Linked DNA regions of Saccharomyces cerevisiae S288C. Changing the gene in region 1 together with any one later gene gives a genetic interaction. Each region holds a gene or a part of one and is shown on either strand. Other genes may lie near its edges. The genes, in order: TPO2 and FCY22.

Region 1 (3,852 bases):
ACGTAAAGAGCTCCAGCAGGATTTTTGAGTTGCATAATGTCAATTAGCGTGTTGATTATCCCGCGCTTGAAATTATTATGTAGTACACTATAGATGTATGTACACACATATACATGGAATAAAAAGTTAAATGTGATACTGAGAACATTATTTGAAAACAAGAGACATTGGCCACGAGGAGTGTAGCGGCAATTACAATAATGTTAAAATTTAAAGGTGCAACTGTGTCGTCTTCGAATAAGCAGGCTTTATGTGAGAAATAACGGTGTATGACTTCAGGAAGAGTAGCAAGAGCGATCTTGATATTCAGAAGCTGCAAAACAATAATACTTTGATATTTCGTTAAAGAGTATGTAGAAATGTCCGACGTTTTTTTGAGAAGTTCCTAATATAAAATATTAAAAATTAATTTTTCAGAATATATGTGGAAATTTGTTATTTTTGTATCGTATATATGAATGACTAGAACATCATTATTTTTACCGGAAACTTGCACCAGCTTACATCTCAACACTGTCGATGGAATAGTCCTTCTTGGACAACTTATGTCTCAAGCCCTTACCCCAGTAAGAAAATGCAAAAGGTAAAGCAATCATAGCAGTGGAGATGAAAGCCAACAACCAAGAACCCCAGTGCAAATTCAATTTGTGGTACATTTGAATGGTAAACAAGGGGAAGGCAGCACCACCGGCGGATCTTAAGAAAACCTTTGTAGCCAGAGCACTGGATGCGTATTGGACGTAGCAATCAATAATGTAATTATTCAATGAATAATAAATCAACACCATACCGAAACCAAAAGCTAAACCAGCTGAAGCTGGACCAACCCAAATAATATGTTTATAAGCGGTAGCACCCAGGATCCATAGAGCAATTGCAGCAAATGGAGCACCGATCTTAGCACCTAGCAAACGATCTTCAGGAGTAGGTTTACGCTGTTTGACAATTTGTAAATATTTGTTTTCACAGTAGAAAGTTGTGGCTAACGCCCAAAGAGCACCGATAACAATAGGAATAAACATTAAACCCACAAGGTTATCTTTGTAGCCATATAGTTCACCGAAAATGACAGGGAAGGCAAAGAAGAACGCATATAGTAGAGAGTAAATCAAACACACGTAGAAACAAGTGGCAACTAGAACAGGTTCAGTGACAGCGAAGTACAAAGGTCTCAACAGACAAGCCCTCATCATTTCACTCATACTGACACCTTGCGCTTCCTGCTCAGTCATAATCTTGGGATTACCAGTTTCCTTTCTTAATCTAGCAGCCTTTCTCTTCAAGATAACTGGAGCGTACGTTTCTGGGATGGCAGAAGATATGATCCACATAACACCTGCAAAGGCCATATTGACCCAGAAAATCAGGTCCATACGTCCGGTAGAAACGGAAATAAAACCGTTAACTAGTGGACCAACAACGGGACCAACGTAAGGAGCAAAAGCGAAGAAAGCAATAGCCTTACCTCTTGTTTCACTTGGGAACATATCGGCAATAGACCCACCAACTAAACACAAACCAGATGATGACCAAACACCACATAAAAATCTACAAGCTAAAAGACAACCTAGATTTGGAGCTAAGGCGCAAGGGATATTGAAGATGACATAAAGACCCATAGAAACAAAGTAAGCAACTCTTCTACCGTAAAGATCACTAACAGGAGACCAAATCAAAGGACCCAGCGAGAACCCAATAACCATTAAAGAACATGATAAAATAGCGGCTTCCATACCTACATGGTATTTCTTTTCAACGGTTCCCAACCCACCACTGATACAAGCAGAACCGTAGGCAACGCAAATAACTAAGATGGACAACAGGACAGTGTAACTCCAACGAACCCATGAGGGCCAATTGTGAGGGTTTTCTGGATCACCAGTAACAAAAGTAACGAATTCGATCTCTGGATCTAGCTCGTTTTCACCGCTCTGGTCTTCACGTTCTTCAGTTTCTTCCTCTTCCATTTCTTCTTTACCTGTGGATGAGGAATTGGTAGCGGTACGGTTCAATTGCTTTGTTCTAGTACGAGATAAGGCAGAGGCGGTTCTACCCATAGATTGTAAGGTAGCCACTGGAACCAGCCCAGATGGTGTTTCCATGGTATATTCTTCAGGGAAAATGTTATTCTTAGCAGTTTGTGGCGCATTGATATCAGGCACTGGGGCGGCTGAAGTGACACCTAAATCTTGTAAAGACTTGACGGTCTCAGTCTTAGTTAACTTAAGTTGATTTGCACGAGAGTTGGTTTTTGAGGGGACATACTGTTGAGGTTGTTGGCCCTCAACGTCCACCATGGAAGTGTTTTGTGAGTTGAATGAAACAACAGATTCTTGATCACTCATATTTGTTTTGTGTATTATTTTTGTGATTAGTTATTAGATGGAATTAAAGGAAAAATATCAATGGACAAAAAATATTAGGGTGTAGAAATAAAGAATAATAGCAGGGCTTTGATAAAAGAATGTATCAATTACTTTTTGAAATTAAAGTTAAAATTAAAATTCAAACCGAAAAAAAAAAAAAATTAAATATTAAACTTGATATAGTAGGAGAAGGAAGTTGTATATTGTTCTCTATAAACACAAACAATAAAATGATATATTTGTTTTCTTATTTCTTCTTGATGTCTTCAGGAAAAAAGAACATAAACAAATACAAAAAAATCCTAGTACGAAACCTCAAAAGGGTGTATGCGCAATGTATATATATAGCAAGAAAAAAAAATAAACAGTGGCATTACAGTGCATGCGGATGGCAGTGTTCTTCGGTGGCTTTTTCGAAAAACCTAGAATGCGTTTAAAAGACTCAGACACCTAAGCAGAATATGCGAATGACTCGTTCAGTAAAATGCGACGCGACAGTTTGTTTTCGTTCTGCGCTGCTGTGTTCTCTATTCTTTTGAGATGAATTTAACGGCTATGGAATCATCTCGAGAAATCGGTTCTAGTAAGGCACCAAGACATTATGTCCCTCGGGAGGAGAAGGGCGCACGCGTCAGGCTTCCACGACGTCCGCCGTGCATGCGCTCTCGCATTTTTAAGGTTTAGTGCGGCAGGCGACTGCGCTGCGGCCAGCCCGTGAGACCACCCGAGGGAATTTGAGTAAGCGCGCCCATTGCGGGGTTTTTGCGGTTTGCGCTGTTTTCCGCACGAGGTTTCTCCGGACACAGTTAAGCAGTATATTTCACTCGGAAGCGCCGGAAAATTTTTTTAAGCGCAAATATATTCAGGTAAGCAGCAAAAAAATACTTTTTCCGGTGGCCCGTGATGTGTTTGTAACAGCTTCTGCGGTACTTTGGGCGGCTAAATGGCAAATAGATCAGGGGAAGGGTTTTTGCATAGGTACAAAATAACCGGATTTTGGGTAAGATTCGATCTTCGGCACTTGTGGCGAAGTAAAAGTGTTGAAAAAGTTCGCGTAATAATAGTGTTAGCCGTTTCAGCTTCGTCCATAAAGTACATATCCACAACTCTCATGGTGCGAAGTACAAACATTGAACGGCAGCTGTCTTGCTCAGCTAGTGGTATGTAAGCAGCCGCATTCTATTTTTATTTTCGTGCCTTTAAGTGTTAAAACCTGAGGCAGATTTTTTATTTTTTTGCATTCCCCTTCCTTTTTGCCGTAATGGCGCATTCAGTGCTGATATATTTATACTTCAATGGTGCTTCTCCTTACTTTTCTTATAGAAATAAACATCAAAACATGAACCTCAAATTCATCCGAAAATGACTGCGGCCACTCACCTTGCTTCTTCCCCACAAATATTTGTGTTCTCTGCTTTCTTTGTGTGTACTTTGTCTTGCTCTATATAACTTTCTCTCTGCTGCTGAGTCTTCAAATAGGTAGATT
Region 2 (4,252 bases), on another chromosome or scaffold:
CGGAACAGAAGAATTAGTTGAAGCTAAACTGTCGTTTTTGAACAGAATTGCTGCTGGTTTAAGTGCCGAGACAAAGGGTATTGAACCGATTACAGAAGATGAAAAAACTGATGATTCTATACTGAACGCTGCATCTATGTGGTTTTCAGCAAATATGGTTCTGCCTGCTTATGCCATTGGCGCCCTAGGGCCTATGGTGTTTGATCTAAATTTCGGCCAAAGCGTTTTCGTTATTATTTTCTTTAACCTCTTAGGCTTGGTATCAGTTGCTTTCTTTTCTGTTTTCGGTGCAGAGCTGGGCCTAAGACAGATGATTTTGTCTAGATATTTAGTTGGCAATATCGCAGCCAGGATCTTCTCTTTCATCAATTTTATTGCCTGTATCGGTTGGGGTATCGTTAATACCGTAGCAAGCTCGCAAGTCCTGAATATGGTTAACCCCGGTCATCAATGTCCTCTCTGGGCTGGTTGTATAGTTATTATCGGTGCTACTGTAATTGTAACTTTTTTCGGCTATGGAGTCATTCATGCTTACGAGAAATGGGCGTGGGTACCAAATTTTGCCGTTTTTTTGGTAATAATTGCTCGTTTGGCAAGGTCTAAAAAATTTGTCCTTGGGGAGTGGACATCTGGTCCTACTACAGCAGGTAACGTGCTTTCATTTGGATCAACAGTTTATGGGTTTGCTGCAGGCTGGACAACATATGCGGCTGACTATACCGTTTATATGCCAAGGAAAACGAACAAGTATAAAATTTTTTTCTCGCTTGTAGTTGGGTTAGCAACACCATTATATTTTACTATGATACTTGGTGCAGCTGTAGCAATGGCAGCTATCGGCGATCCAGCCTGGAAGACGTATTATGACGAAAATTCCATAGGTGGTTTAACTTTTGCCGTTCTTGTCCCTAATTCTGTTCACGGATTCGGTCAGTTCTGTTGCGTGTTATTGTCTCTGTCCACTATCGCTAATAATGTTCCCAACATGTATACTATTGCTTTATCGGTGCAAGCCACGTGGGAACCTCTTGCGAAAGTCCCAAGAGTTATTTGGACTTTATTAGGCAATGCGGCCGCACTGGGTATTGCCATTCCTGCCTGCTACTATTTTTCTACCTTCATGAATTACTTCATGGATTCCATAGGTTATTATTTGGCTATTTATATTGCCATTGCATGTTCAGAGCATTTTATTTATAGGCGTTCCTTCAGTGCTTACAATGTTGATGATTGGGATAGTTGGGAACGTCTACCTATCGGCATTGCAGGTACTGCTGCCTTAATTGTTGGTGCCTTTGGCGTAGCGTTGGGTATGTGCCAAACTTATTGGGTTGGCGAGATCAGCCGTTTGATCGGAGACTACGGTGGTGATATTGGATTCGAGTTAGGACTAAGTTGGGCATTTATAGTTTACAACATTGCTAGACCCTTTGAGCTCAAGTACTTTGGTCGTTAACGAAAGTTCATTTAAATGTTTCGCTATTTTAGTCTTTGTAATGTAACATAAATGGCTCTAGTATGCAAATCATTAAAAAATAGCATGTATGTTAATTAAATTATCACGGCTCATTCATTTGAGTTGATAACGCAATTCTGATAAGCATATCACGTGACTGTGGTTCTAAGAGTTACTCCGATCGCCAGTAAATACTTTATGAGACGTTGCATTATTTCTGTTTAGTTGATAAATTTTGATTTCTAGTCTGTTGAAAGCCTAATGCATGCAGATGACATAAATGTAGTCTGTTTTTGCACTGGTGATTTGTAAACCAGACAAATATATAACATGATAACCAAATTGTTTGTTATAAGATACGCTTGTCAGATTGAAATGGAGGGTGTTTCAGAAGGTGACTAAAATATCGAAGAAAAGTATGCCAGAAAAGTTAGCCATGTCAATGGTCGATATAAAAGATGCGGGGAGTGAACTAAGGGACCTCGAATCTGGAGCTCTGGACACAAAATCTTCCGCCGCTGATGTATACTATGAGGGTGTAGAATTGCATAGAACCAACGAATTCATTGATAATAAGCCGTCCTTTTTCAATAGGATTGCAGCTGCTTTAAATGCTGAGACGAAAGGTATTGAACCAGTTACAGAAGATGAAAAAAATGATGACTCGATACTCAATGCCGCCACTATATGGTTTTCAGCTAATATGGTGATTGTAGCCTATTCCGTAGGTGCCTTGGGTCCTCTAGTATTTGGCCTAAATTTCGGCCAAAGTGTTTTAGTTATCATTTTTTTCAATATTTTGGGTTTGATCCCTGTTGCATTATTCTCACTTTTTGGGGTAGAACTGGGCCTAAGACAGATGATTCTATCGAGATATTTGGCTGGTAACATCACAGCAAGATTTTTCTCTCTTGTTAATGTCATTGCTTGTGTCGGTTGGTGTGTTTTAAATATTTCTGTTTCTGCTCAACTTTTGAATATGGTGAATGAAGGCTCTGGGCACAACTGTCCTATTTGGGCAGGTTGTTTGATTATTGCTGGTGGTACCGTGCTTGTGACTTTTTTTGGTTACAGTGTCGTTCATGCATACGAAAAATGGTCGTGGGTACCCAATTTTGCTGCCTTTTTGGTCATTATTGCCCAACTATCGAGATCAGGAAAATTTAAAGGTGGTGAATGGGTAGGGGGTGCAACTACTGCAGGTGGTGTTCTTTCTTTTGGTTCATCTGTTTTTGGGTCAGCTGCGGGTTGGGCGACTTATGCAGCAGATTACACTGTTTATATGCCAAAGACCACAAGTAAATACAAAATTTTTTTTTCCGTAGTAGCCGGTCTAGCGTTCCCTCTATTTTTCACCATGATTCTTGGTGCTGCTTGCGGTATGGCGGCCCTTAATGACCCAACCTGGAAGTCATATTATGATAAAAACGCCATGGGTGGTGTCATATATGCTATCCTGGTCCCTAACTCTCTAAACGGATTCGGTCAATTCTGCTGTGTTTTGTTGGCTCTTTCAACTGTTGCTAATAATGTCCCTGGAATGTACACTGTCGCTTTATCCGCTCAAGCTTTGTGGGCACCTTTGGCTAAAATACCAAGAGTAGTCTGGACAATGGCAGGTAATGCTGCCACTTTAGGTATTTCCATCCCTGCTACCTATTACTTTGACGGCTTTATGGAGAATTTTATGGATTCCATTGGTTATTATTTGGCTATTTATATTGCCATTGCATGTTCAGAGCATTTTATTTATAGGCGTTCCTTCAGTGCTTACAATATTGATGATTGGGATAATTGGGAGCATCTACCTATCGGTATCGCAGGTACTGCTGCCTTAATTGCTGGTGCCTTTGGAGTAGCGTTGGGTATGTGCCAAACTTATTGGGTTGGTGAGATCAGTCGTTTGATCGGAGAGTACGGCGGTGACATTGGGTTCGAGTTAGGCGGAAGTTGGGCGTTCATCATCTATAACATTGTAAGACCTTTAGAACTCAAATATTTCGGTCGATGACTAAATGTTAATTGATTAATATTTTTGCTAATCATTGAAATGATTGGTTTTAATGGATAAATCTCGACATTCGAATAGATAGCATATAATTCAAAAACGATTATAATGGGATATATATATAAGTTTAATAATATTAACTCCCTTCCCATTTCTTGAAGAGAAGAGATGTGTTAACTCCTCCAAATCCGAAGCTGTTGCATAATGCGTACTTCGGATTAGCTCCCACAATAGGTTTGTCTCTTATGAAATGTAGCTTATCGGCCTCGTTATTTTCTAGAGTCAGAACATTGTCCAGGTTTAAGGTATGCGGCATCTTATCATCCTTCAAGGAACAAATTGTAAATATACTTTCTACGGCGCCAGCTGCACCTAAAAGATGGCCAATTGCACCTTTGTTACTGGATATGTACAGTGGCTTGCTTTTGGATCTTCCTGGTAAGAGTGCTGAGGCTACTGCCAGACACTCTGCTTTATCGCCTAGTAAAGTTGATGTAGCATGTGCATTGACGTAGTCAACATCAGTTGGTTCTAATCTAGCCATTTTTAGAGCCATCTCTATTGCTCTTTTGGCACCATTTCCATCAGCAGGAGGGGAGGTAATATGGCAGGCATCACTGCTTAAACCATAGCCCACGAGCTCAGAAATTATGTTTGCATTTCTCTTTTGAGCATGTTCTAGCGATTCCATGACAATCATTCCGCATCCTTCACCAAGTACGAATCCAGAACGTTGTGTATCAAAGGGTCTAGAGATCCCGTTTGTAGTAATCGACTTTGCTCTGATG

Evidence for each region.
Region 2: of TPO2 (region 1) and FCY22, changing one suppresses a phenotype caused by changing the other (phenotypic suppression), as found in Saccharomyces cerevisiae (one study listed by BioGRID).

The regions. Positions count from the first base shown.
Region 1 is NC_001139.9:763,262-767,113, forward strand, and holds TPO2 (spermine transporter), read right to left. Parts: upstream 2,346-3,852; coding exon 501-2,345; downstream 1-500. UniProt on the Saccharomyces cerevisiae protein: Cell membrane polyamine/proton antiporter, involved in the detoxification of excess polyamines in the cytoplasm. Recognizes spermine, but not spermidine.
Region 2 is NC_001137.3:274,698-278,949, forward strand, and holds FCY22 (purine-cytosine permease), read left to right. Parts: upstream 1-1,874; coding exon 1,875-3,467; downstream 3,468-4,252. Other genes in the region: FCY21 (purine-cytosine permease), read left to right, coding at 1-1,456; fatty acid synthase CEM1, read right to left, coding at 3,601-4,252. UniProt on the Saccharomyces cerevisiae protein: Probable purine-cytosine permease.